Regions from separate parts of the Mus musculus genome. Here regions 2, 3 and 4 are each reported to be linked to region 1. The links are microRNA targets in miRTarBase. Many come from high-throughput screens and were not tested one by one. Region 1 holds a microRNA gene; each other region holds the end of a gene's coding sequence.

Evidence for each region. The annotated mature microRNA mmu-miR-466k reads UGUGUGUGUACAUGUACAUGUGA and lies in region 1 at 1,214-1,236, opposite strand. An mRNA with a match to its seed (bases 2 to 7 or 8) in the 3' UTR can be bound and repressed. Matches are read on the target gene's strand: a 7mer-m8 pairs with bases 2 to 8, a 7mer-A1 pairs with bases 2 to 7 and ends in A, and an 8mer does both.
Region 2: miRTarBase lists Has2 as a target of mmu-miR-466k. Seed matches in the 3' UTR shown: 7mer-A1 at 365-371, 8mer at 366-373, 8mer at 368-375, 8mer at 370-377, 8mer at 372-379, 8mer at 374-381 and 8 more.
Region 3: miRTarBase lists Zfp691 as a target of mmu-miR-466k. Seed matches in the 3' UTR shown: 8mer at 832-839, 8mer at 834-841, 8mer at 836-843, 8mer at 838-845, 8mer at 840-847, 8mer at 842-849 and 15 more.
Region 4: miRTarBase lists Pik3r5 as a target of mmu-miR-466k. Seed matches in the 3' UTR shown: 8mer at 1,031-1,038, 8mer at 1,033-1,040, 8mer at 1,035-1,042, 7mer-A1 at 1,044-1,050, 8mer at 1,045-1,052, 8mer at 1,047-1,054 and 29 more.

The regions. Positions count from the first base shown.
Region 1 is chr3:85,465,585-85,468,631 of GRCm38, reverse strand. It overlaps Mir466k (microRNA 466k), which reads right to left and starts at 1,255; the gene lies at 1,134-1,255. All of the region lies in intron 1 of Gm31419 (a long non-coding RNA gene), which reads left to right.
Region 2 is chr15:56,664,953-56,667,998 of GRCm38, reverse strand. It overlaps Has2 (hyaluronan synthase 2), which reads left to right. Exons shown (of 4, transcript NM_008216.3): 4 at 1-2,372. The coding sequence ends at 340. Among named protein-coding and RNA genes, the nearest start is that of Has2os, 23 kb to the left of the region's middle.
Region 3 is chr4:119,167,585-119,170,631 of GRCm38, reverse strand. Zfp691 (zinc finger protein 691) reads left to right here. Exons shown (of 2, transcript NM_001145936.1): 2 at 1-1,116. The coding sequence ends at 450. Among named protein-coding and RNA genes, the nearest start is that of Zfp691, 5.1 kb to the left of the region's middle.
Region 4 is chr11:68,495,692-68,498,738 of GRCm38, forward strand. Pik3r5 (phosphoinositide-3-kinase regulatory subunit 5) reads left to right here. Exons shown (of 19, transcript NM_177320.2): 18 at 217-329; 19 at 418-2,155. The coding sequence ends at 559. Among named protein-coding and RNA genes, the nearest start is that of Pik3r6, 5.8 kb to the right of the region's middle.

The sequences.
Region 1 (3,047 bases):
CAGGTAAATTCCTGTGGCTGGTGCCAAGACAAACTGCCTAGAACATTTTATTTGCTGGCTTGCTCTGATTAAAGTGGAGAACGCACTGCACTTTCTCGTTTGTGGTCACCTGCTAAATCTTTACCTTATTTCTGGTGTTGCCTAACACAGCGTCTCATACACAGCAGAAGAGAAAGAGTCACTAAATGAATGAATGAATCTATTTCCTATTTCCTTCGAAATTTGAGCCTCTGCACAGGCTGAGATGTACTGGCGTGCTTTGTGTTGTTGTTGGAGGTGGAATCTGGGGTCTTGTATATGCTGGGCAAGTGTTTCATCATTGAGCTATAACCCAAGAGCTAAAAAACTTGTTCCGGTGGCATTAGGGTAGCAGACAATTTTTGGGGAAATGAAGTTTGTTTCCAGAAGGCCTAGGGCTGTGGAATCCTGGGTATAATGGATGCTTAGAAGAGAAGAGATGACTTCAGGTCTCAAGGACTGAGGACATGTCCCTAGTTTTCAGTGACTGGCTTTTATACCACCAGAAGCTCTGCACACTCTGTACTGACCCTTTTCCTGTGAACTTCCCTGTGTAACATTTGTTCCTCTGTTTTATCAGCTGAATGATGGAACCTCACAGCCAAGAACTTTGAGAGGTCAAAAGGACCTGGCTGCTTCCTGCAGGTGGCAATGGCTTCCTTTCTTCTTCAGCCTTTAGACAGTTTGGATTTCAAATTATTCCATCACTTTCTAGAACATTCCAGATCCAAGCTCTCCTCTCCTATCACAGATGTATTCTGCAGCGCTGGGCCTCTCTACTGCATGTGGTTGTGGGAGAAGAAAGCCGCTGAGGTAGTTGAAGCCATGTTTAGCTTTTAGTTCTGTGAGGCAAGAGGGCCAGGACAGAGCATTTCCCCTTCCCTGTCAAGATATCAGCACCTGCTTGGGAAGCCAGAAGATGGAGGAGTAAAAAAGCTCCTGTTCCTCGGGGGCTTGCAGGTAAGGTCACGGCCAGTGCAGAGGTGCCAGTCTTCTCCTGCCCTATAAGGCTGCTGCTACCTGTGAAAGATCAGTGCAGTTGCTTACCTGTCACCTAGGCCAGATGGAGACACAGCCATCGGAGTCACAATTAGTAACACCTACTCACCATACACACACATGCACATGCACACATATACACATATATTCACATACTCACACACATGCACATGTACAAACATATACACACACATACTCACATGTACATGTACACACACACACACACACACACATATATATGTATATACACACCTGCACACACACACACACACACACACACACACACACACATATCAATAGAGAACATGCATATACACGTACATGCACTCATGCACATGCACACCCATGTGTATATGCACACACATACATACACATATACACATATGCATGCACACACACACATACACTTATTTCTATAGGAGGGTGTACATGAATGTATATCACATGCACACATGTATATGTGTGTGAATATAGGTGAATATACAGCCCCTCCCATCCTGGAAACTAGCACATTCATATAAGACACCATAATACAGCTTTTCAATATTTTCTTTTCTGTAAGAAAGTAGGGAATTGACTGAAGTCCAGGGCTGTTGCAGTTCAGAAGTTCGGCTCTTTATCTAAATGTGGCCCTGAGAGTTAGGCAGCAGATGGAGGTAACATGGCAGCTTCCAGGGCTTGGAGTCAATGACTTCAATGAACAAAAACAGACACTTTCTTTTACTCGCTCCATTGAGAACATGACCACACATTCCTGGCTCACAGGAGACCCCTAAATCTGGAGGCCACTCCACGATGTCTCCTCATCCTTAAAGTAGAAAGTGGGACTGCGGAATCTGTCATGTGCTCCATCTTGGGCCACTGATGGGGTCTGTGTGAGATGAGATCTGATTTGCCTCGGTTATTCTGGGATGCACATTGGCTACTCTGCCCACTTCATCCATTCTGAGCTACTACCAATCTCCATCCTTACAGGCAGCAGCCAATTTGAAACGTACAGTTGTATACTCCCACTTCAGGTTACTTTTGCCAACACATATTACCTTATGTTTATTTGAGTTAAGTTTCGTCTGCCTGCAGGCTGCACAATCCCCCAAAGTGTTCCGATGCACCTGGAATTTCTTGCAAATCTTCTCTGTTTTTATTAGCCACAACAGTTTGGAACTAGTTGAAACCTCTGGGAAGAGATTAGACAACAATTACTGCCCGTTGCTCATGTAATGTCTGGCCAGGTACATGAGCCAGCAGGCCTTGCTTGGCGGGGTGGGGGTGGGTGGGCATGATAGCATTTCTATCCACTGGTCTGTCTTTTGAACTCTCAACTCTGGACAGGTACCAGGGAGCCAGCCTATCCTTGGGGTGTATGTCTACACAGGGGCATAGAGCTGTCTTATTTACAGGTTTTAGAAGCTACTGCTCTGGAGCCAAGGGAATGTGTGTTATCAAGGCCCACTCTGTCTGGTCCCCTTGGATATTACAGAAAGAAGGGACAGAAGAAGAGAGCCGAGGGAGGGGAAGGAAGCTTGCAGCACTGCTCGCTATGCTGGGTTCTGTAAAATCAGGTGATTAGACATGGGAGGAGGAAGGACAGAAGTATCACCCTTCGGACTCCTCTGGAGAGGCTGAGACATCACCATGGTCACATCCTGGAATCTGGGAATGAGGACTGGTTGAGGCTGGAAGCCACTGTCCTCAAGACCAGGTAGGACATCAAGGACCAGTTCCACGAGCCAGGATGGAGGAGGTGAAGCGGGCTGCTGCTTGCGGAAAGCAGCTTCTGTGAGCAAGGCTGGTGTGTGGGCAGCAGCTTAGGCTGAACGGATCCCAGAGCGTTCCAGCGAGCTAATCTTGTCAGCCTCAAGCTGTTCCACAGACAGTGGGTGTGAATCCAAAGCCATCTTAGATGCTCAGCTCTCAAATGTTTCTTTTAAGAAAATAAAAAAAGAGAGATTGAAGGTACACCAGACCCAAATGGGCCAGTTACCTGGGAAGGTTAGACTTGTGAGCTGTGAAGTGCAAGTATGCAGATG
Region 2 (3,046 bases), not on the chromosome of region 1:
AGTGTTATACATGTCAAGTCTACTTCCTGCCAAGATGTTTGCAATTGCAACCATAAACAAAGCTGGGTGGGGCACATCTGGAAGGAAGACCATTGTTGTTAATTTCATAGGACTTATTCCAGTGTCCGTGTGGTTTACAATCCTTCTAGGTGGTGTAATTTTCACCATTTATAAGGAATCTAAAAAGCCATTTTCCGAATCCAAACAGACTGTTCTCATCGTGGGAACTTTGATCTATGCATGCTACTGGGTCATGCTTTTGACTCTCTATGTGGTTCTCATCAATAAGTGTGGCAGGCGGAAGAAGGGACAACAGTATGACATGGTGCTTGATGTATGATGATGTTTGTAGTCACACCTGGAGACACACACACACACACACATACACACACACACACACCTTAGCTCCTCAAGGGGCTATACAGTATTGTGGCACCGCACCCTGCCACCACAGGAGACATATCACTGCTGCTGGGACTTGAACAAAGACATTCAATGGGGGTTGGTTTCTTTTTTATTCTGCCAAAGCAAATTGATACATCAGTGAGAAGAAAGTCCGATTAAATCTGACAGTTTTAGGACGGTGGGATGATGTCTTGGCTTATGCACTTTTCCCTTACTGTGCATCTGCCTGACAGTGTTTGTTCTAAATACCTCACTTGCCATGCTTTGTGTGGGTGATCATGGAAGAAAAGGATTCTGAAAACTCAAGGGAACGTTCTTTCAACCTACACATCCTAACTTATGGACTCTTTTGATAGCTGATGATTTTCTTTCTATTTTTTGTTTTTAAGGAAAATTGTTCATCTTTACCAAATGAAATGCCAAAGGAAAGTTGGAAAGCCACTGGCTATGCTGTATTTTGATATAATAATTGTACTGTGTTTTAAATTTTGTATCCGGATTTTTAAAAACAAAATTTCACACCATAGTCTATATTTTACTTCTCTGGCAAAATACACTTTTGTTCTTTTATATATATATATATATATATATAATAAAATAGGTTCTAAAAAAATCCATACTATAAAAAAAAATTAACCTGCCCAAAATGTGAAACGTGGTTGACTGATGTTCATGAAAGAATAAAATGTTTCTCTCTTTCTCTACATTTTATAATTGAATAGTTATTTCTGTGAAAAGAAATGTAAAGTTTGAATACTCTAACATTTTATTTCTTTTAGAAAGGGTCGAGATACCTGTCAACTTTTAGGTAAAAATACATACTCACATGTGTACAAGAGCCAATCATTAAAGTTGAGGCCGAAAGGGTAGAAAAGTGCAATTTTTGAAAATATATATTTTTTTCAAAAGGGAATCCTAGTCTTTGGAAAAAGCAAAACAAAATGCTGGGCTCCTTGTACTGGATAAATGTGAACATCCAAGCCAGATCATCTGGAGAGATGGTGGCAGTCTTTGCCTAGGCCTAGACAAAATGGAAAGCTGGTGAGACTTTATCTGTGTGATTGGGACAAATAGAATGCAATTCATTAAAAGTTTTACTCTGTGGCCTAAATGTGGCAGACCTTCTCACATGCACAATGAGTGTGTTTCCTCCAGTTAGTGTCTGGGTTCGCCAAGTCACCCTGCCTGTTAGTGATGTTTACATGGGCGAACTGTAACTGATACACAACACAATTCAGACCTGGCACATTTATGTTCCTAGTGGCTTCTTTACTTCTCAGGAAGGGTATTTTTTTTCTCAATTATACAGGTAATCTCTCCATCTCTTCCATACTTGGCCTTCCTAAAAATCTCCACAAGTAGAAATGATGTCAACCTGTAATTACTATTACTAAGAACTGGTAAATTAAAAAAAGTGACGCACCAGTTCCTCCAAACGTGTCTAATTCAGTTGTAACAGGGCCTCAGTTGTTAATTTGACTTTTCACATGATTTATCTTGGCTGGTGCTGTGTAGGGCTGTGAGACAGACACTCAGAACACAGGAATAGCTGCACAGAAGCCTTGTGGCGAAGCAAAAAGAGCACCAAGGTTCTGCTTCCTCACTGCGCAGACTACCACACCACACACAACTGTAGCGAGATACTGTCTAAGGGAAAGCTGCACACTCTACCTTGTGAGTACAAAGAGGTTCGTTCAAGTTCTGAAAAACTCCGACTCTCGCCGTATGGAGAGCTAGTGGGAAACAAACACACCCTGACAATAAATGAAACTAAAACTTGAGTTTGCCTTTTTAACTATTTATGTTCTAAGTTAAGCTTTGATAACGTTCAAATGTCAAATTTTTTCTCATTCTTATAAAAAGTTGAATTAATTGCCTTGTATTTATTTTAGCAATTATTCAATGTATTTCCATTATAGGATGTATAGTATAATTGATTGTTTTTGTAAATAAAATATTTTTGATAAGATGATGGTCTCTCTTTTCTAAGGGAAGGGTTTTGTTTTCCTCACTGTAATGGTATGTAGTTTAAAATGGGTGTGTAAAAAGTATCATGCCTGGTGTAAAATAATGTCAGCTAATGATTCTTATGCTGCGCAGAAATCTCCCAAATTGGTGTTATTGGGAAATCTGGGAACCGTCATAGCGATAGGGAAACCGTATCAACTAAATTAATCTTTGTCTCTGAGTTCTTTCTTTATGCACCCTCCAAAGTTGCCCAAATTAGAGAAATTTTTTTACTATATCAATAAAATCACAGTGAAGAAAAGCAATAAGCAGGTTTGTTTATTATTGCAGTATTCATAAAAATAACAAAATTCTAAAGTAACTAAAACTGACTAACATGGGCAACAGTTAAATGGTTTGTTAACATTATACAACAGCTAAATGGAACACTGCCAGCCACTAAACACGATGTAGTCAGAGACTGTAGGAGAATGTTGCGGAACTTACACTTGAAATATACATGACCATTTGTACATTAGCATCTGACTTTGTAAAGACCAGTGTTTAAATGTGGTTCTATCTAGTGATAGCAATATGGCTAATTTATATTCTGTATATACTTTTTGTATTCTTTTAGGATGATAAGCATGTATTGTCTTTACACAAAGAAAAATGATAATAAATATCATTTTTT
Region 3 (3,047 bases), not on the chromosome of region 1:
GAAGAGAAGCACTACCAATGCGCCAAGTGTCAGGAGAGCTTCCGGCGGCGCTCGGACCTCACCACGCACCAGCAAGATCACCTGGGCCAGCGGCCCTACCGCTGTGACATTTGTGGCAAGAGCTTCACTCAGAGCTCCACGCTGGCTGTACATCACCGGACCCACCTGGAGCCAGCCCCTTACATCTGCTGTGAGTGTGGGAAGAGCTTTAGCAACAGCTCCAGCTTTGGGGTGCACCACCGTACCCACACGGGTGAGAGGCCTTACGAGTGCACTGAATGCGGGCGGACTTTCAGTGATATCTCCAACTTTGGTGCACACCAGAGAACGCACAGAGGGGAGAAGCCGTACAGGTGCACCCTGTGTGGGAAACACTTCTCCCGGAGCTCCAACCTCATCCGACACCAGAAAACACACTTGGGCGAGCAAGATGAGAAGGATTTTAGCTAAAGGAGAGGCCTGCTTGGAGAGTGAGGGAGAGCATAGAGCCCACCTTGATGGGTGGAGGAGGCCTTTAGTACCTGCTGTGGCCTCCAAGACTACAAACCCTTCACTTTGCGGAACAGCCCCTTCTTGCCTTTGCAGTCAGGAAATCCTGAGAAGGGGCTGAGTAAACACCCTGCCTCTTCCCAGCAGGTTTTTTTTTTTTTTTTTTTTTTTTTTGCCTTGGAAATTCAGAGTGCCCACTCTTCATTTCCTCAGCTGTGGGGGAAATGGGATGGGCTCAGGACATGCTCTTGTGACTGGGTCATCAGTCATCAGTCCCCAGGCTTTGGGGGTAGTGCCTGAGACGGTGTCGTTGTCTACAGGTCCTCCAAAGTTGTCTAGCTTCACACACACACACACACACACACACACACACACACACACACACACACGGCAGTAGCCTGTGAGTTCCTACCTGCTGTGCCTCATCCTGTGTCAGCCTCTAGAGCCTCAGGCTGGGGAGGGGGGGGGGGCATGGCCCTCCTGGTGACCGGCCTCTTCAGTCTGAGAAGGAAGCCTCAGGGATCCACAATCCAGGGACCCTCACCCTCCCATGCTTGTTACCTGGTTTTCTTACCCCGACTTGTGTCTGTCTCCTCAGTGGTCACCAGTAAAACACTTCAGTGAAAAGAACCTGTGTACTTATTTGGGGATGTGGGGCACCGGGGAGAGTATTCCAGGGCAGCCATTCTGCAAAGGCGTGGAGTTGAATTCTGAGAAGGTGGTGGTTCCTCTGAGATGTGAAGGACAGCGGGGCCGAGCCTCTGGAGCCTTTGAAGAGGAGGGGGAGGGAAATGGTCACCTGAATGAACATCCACACGGTAGGCTGCTGGGTGTACACGCCATTCTTTATCTCATTCGGTTGCCACAGAAACCCTCCAGGGCAGAAGATGAAAGTCAAGCAGTGGGGTGCGGTGGGACCAGTGTAGACCTGGCTTCTTCAGCTCATCCGATGCTTTCTGCATATACTTTGCTGGCCTCTGAAGGAAGCTGGCCTAGAGGTGGGTGCTATGTGTGGCCTCTTGATAACAGCCTTGACCTCTTTGCTCTTGGAAGTCACATCACAATCAGAACCTTTCAAACTGGAGACTATTAGTTGAACCCTCTTGTGACTAGGGGAAATGGCAATGACAGGGAGTAGGGGGTTGGGGGTGGGGTGATATAAAAATTCTTAAAACCGGATGATAACGTTTCATTAATAGCAGTAGATTCGTCCCTAGGGCTCGGACAGTAAGGTTTCCTGTCCTCATTTAGGCCTGGCTTCACCAGTCAGTTTCTCACTTGGAAATTTATCGTTCACCCAGCTTTCCTTTCTTACCTCTTCCGTCAACCTGGGGTCCTGCCTCCCTGCGTAAGGAGTGCTCTTCAGTTGTGCCCAGTTACCAGAATGTTATTCTGGTACCAGAGTTAACAAGGGTATGGCCCGTGGCTTGACCCTGCCACTCAGCCTGAGTAGGATACACCAGGAACTTGATATGCGTGAACTCTCGCAGGTACCTTGAGAGGTAAAAGTGGATCCACACTTCACAGATATGGAAACAGGCTGCTGGAGACAGTGGCTTGTCCAAGATCACGGAGGCCATTGATGCCATGACTGCAAATGGAATCTGCTGCCCAGTGCTCAGGAATTTGATTTAAACTATAGAAGACTGGGATGGCAAGATGGTTCAGTGGATAAAGGGGCTTGCTGCCAAGCCTGACGGCCTGAGTTTGATTCCTAGGACCCACATGTTAGAAGGAGAGAGATGATTCCCATAAGTTTCCCTCTGACCTCATGCATACTGTGGCACATGTGGACACACACACAATAAGGAAATGTAACATAATAAATGGAAACTGTAGGAGACTGCTCAAATGACTCCCTTGCGTATGGAGAGTGTTTTACAGTTTGCAAAGCACTTGTATACATCTCTTCCTTCCCTTCTCTCTTTCCTCTCCTTTTTTCCTTTTTCTTTTCCCTCCCATTTCTTTTCTTGAATTGTGTGACCAGGCTTAACTTTACCTTAAGACTTGTAGCCCAGCATATGCTACACATTTAATCCCAGCATTTGAGAGGCAGAGTCAGGTAGATCTCTGGGTTCAAGACCAGCCTGATCTATATATCAAGATCCAGGACAACCAGGGATACATGGAGTGACCCTGTCTCAAGAAACAGAATGTACATGCCTGGCACCTGAGCAAAAACCTTAGGCATATAATTCAGCATAAATTAAATACCAGTTGGCCACTGAAGACAATCATAAGCATGTTGCTGTAGTGCCAGAAAGCCTGAAGAACTGAATGAACACCAGGGGGCGCAAGAGACCGTGAACTCCTAAAACCTCATATGAGAGACATGAGATCTAGAGCACGTGGGAGGCCAAGGCAGGCGAATCTTTTGAGTTTGAGGCCCTCTGGTCTACATAGTGAGTTCAAGAACAGCCAGAGATATGTAGAGATATCTTGTCTCAAAAACAAACAAACAACAACAACAAAACCCCAGTGACATCTCCCTCTAAATCATCGGAAGACACCCCTCTCCCGGAATGGGGTGGGCTGGCTATTAAAGACATGTCCCAGTA
Region 4 (3,047 bases), not on the chromosome of region 1:
TGGAGTGGGCAGTGCATTGATCCCTCGAGACTCGGTAAGAGGCTGCGGAGGAGACAGGGCCTGGCATAGTTCTCATGATTCCTCCTCTGACTCCATCTCAAGAGCTGCCAGGCAGTCCTGTCTCAAACTCTCCCAGTCCCTATGGGCAAAGAAGCACCCAGGGCTGGCAGATGTATGACCGGGGCTCTGGGGCCTGAACTAGGGCTTCCCTTCCAGATCAGTACATCCTACATCAAAGTGGACAAGGTGCAGATCATCGGCTCTAGCAGCTGCCCCTTTGCCGTGTGTCTAGACCAGGATGAGAGAAAGATCCTGCAGAGTGTGGTCAGGTGAGGATGGGGGCCTGGGGAGGGGGGTCTTTCTTTTCTGTCCTCTGAAGCCTGCAGAGCCACCTTCTTACATCACCCTGTTCTATAGGTGTGAAGTGTCACCCTGCTACAAGCCAGAGAAGAGCAGCTTGCCACCCGAGAGGTCCTTCAGCCAGCCAGCAGAGACTGGGTCCGACCTGTGCTCCCTTCTCTGCCTTCCCATCATGACATTCAGTGGGGCTCTGCCCTAGTGCAGCTAGGTACGAGGCTGGGCAGGAAGAGTACACAGCTTCTCCTGGACTACTCTTCGGGGCAGCCGCTCTCTACGGAGAACAGAATTGCCCTGCACTGCATCAGGATCCCTCTGTAAGCCCTGCCATGGGCCAGGGATGTGGCCAGTGGTATCTGGAGCCCCTGAGAGCTGATGAAGAAACAAGCACTGGAGAAAGAAGGACCTGGGATGTCCAGTCTTACAGATGCCTCTAAGCAGAGGGAGAGGGATGGGCGAGTGGCCCCAAAGAAAGGTGTGAGGCTTGTCTGTGGTTTAGGCCTCCTTTCCAAGCCCTGAGCTGAGGTCCATCTTTGGTTTGTCCAAGACTCAGGGTCCCTAACTAGAGGTCATTCTCTCTAAGGCACAGATAGGAGAGAGATGGGTGAGACATTTCTTTCCTGGTCTCAGATACCATCTCTCTACCCTACCACTACCATCATGAGCACACATGCACACACACACAGACACACACACACAGATACACAGACACACAGACACACACAGACACACACAGACACACACACACACACACACACACACACACACACACACACACACACACACAGGCTTTCTCTCTCAAGTTCCCTGGATCCCTTGAAAAACAGCACTAATACTTGGTCCTTTGCTAGGACCTGGTACATTTTCTCTCCCAAGCCCCTTGCTGGGTCTCAGATGCTGGGGAGATGGGACAGACATGGTTCCTTTTTAGCTAAATGCCCAGAGGAAGTTAAGGCACTTCTTTGAGCCTCTGTTTCCTCAGTGCTGAAGTGCACGGGAAGTGGGTCCTCAAAGGGAGTGCCCTTGAACCTTGCCCAGTGCCTGGCTCCCAGCAGCTGCCCTGGAAAGACAGCATCTTGCCCTCCGCTACTGATGCCCTCCTTTGTTCTTGAACACTCTCAGGATAGTCCTTGCTTGGCCTTGCCCCACCTAGGGATGAGGCGGAACTCAGGCAGGCTAAGCAGCAGTCAGGAAGGGCCTCCTAGGTACGGATCCTCCCCCACTTCCCTAGCAGGTCGGTTCCCATATGCTCACTTCCTCTCAGCTGGAGGACTGGTGCACATTGTGTGCTCTGGACACAAGCTCTCTGGACAAGATCTCAGAGGAGCAGAGGGCAGATTGCTGAGTATCTAACGGTAGAGACATGCATGGAACCCAATACAGCAAGAGCCTGAAGTTTAAATCTGTCAGACCGGAGGGCTGGACAAGTGGACAAGATGTGGCTGGAGCGATAAGGTGGTGGGCTGGCTCAGGCCTTGGCCTGGCACCAGTGAGTAAGGAACCTTGGAAACATAACAAGTTGCCACAGAGTTCTTACCATCATGTTCTGCACCAAAGACCTCGGTTTGTAGAAGCCCAAGGAAACTGCAGAGGGCTCCTGACTTGAGAGACCAGATGGAGCCACTATGTTGTCACCCCCAGTCCTAGCTGACGGTATATCTGCCAGGTTCCGGAGCAGTGTCCAGCCATATATACCGGTGTGCTTTAACCTGCTGTGTGAGCATATTGTTCTACTGTATGATCAATATGAATCAGTGAATGCGATTTTAATATTATTATCAAATAAAATTGATTTATTGTATATTTGGTCATCTATAGTTATGTTGGAGCATGTCAGAGTTTACATGTATCACTTCAGGGCTGGAGGGATAAGTCAGTGGCCCTCGCTGCTCTTCCAGAGGACCCAGGTTCAGTTCCCTGTACCCACATAGGGTGGCTCACAACTGCCTGTCCTCCAACTTGAATCTGATGCCCTTTTCTGGCCTCTGAAGGCATTCACGCACACACAGACAGACACACACACAAACAATACAATAAAAATAAATTTTAGCATAAGTAAGGCTTTTGGAGATTATATAGTTTATTTGTAATTTTCCACTCTGCACAATATATATCTGTGCTAAAATTTCATTGATACTCCTCCATTTCAGCCTCATCATACACACGGACTCCCAGAACAAACAAACAACAACAAAATCCTATACATCTCTACAGTTTCCTGTATTACTTCACTTGAGAAACATAAGCCTGTATATCCTGATGTCCCCATGGGCCTGAGGCTCCTGTCACTGACAAGAGATAGAGGACCTGGGCCCATCATACTAGGGAGAGCAAGGGAAGAGGTAATGGCCATACACACCTGAGGGCGGCCTTTACACTCGGCATACAAGGGGGAAGAGGAGGTGTTGGACACTGGCGGACACCAACTCCAACATCCCAGAATAGCTGCATTGGATGGAGGGGGAAGGCTCTAAGGAGGTTGCAGCTTGGCATCAGTAGGCTGCCGTGCATGTCATTCTTCCCCACGCAGCCACAGACACTTAGGGTTCATCTAGTCTCAGCTGAGCTTGGCACGGTATGGTCGCAAGCTGTAGGCTGAGTCCGGGTGTTTCCCGTGGGTCTCTCGGACACCTTGAACTTGCGTGATTGGCCACCTCACCACATCTGCAAGCTTCTCCCTACCCCTAAAA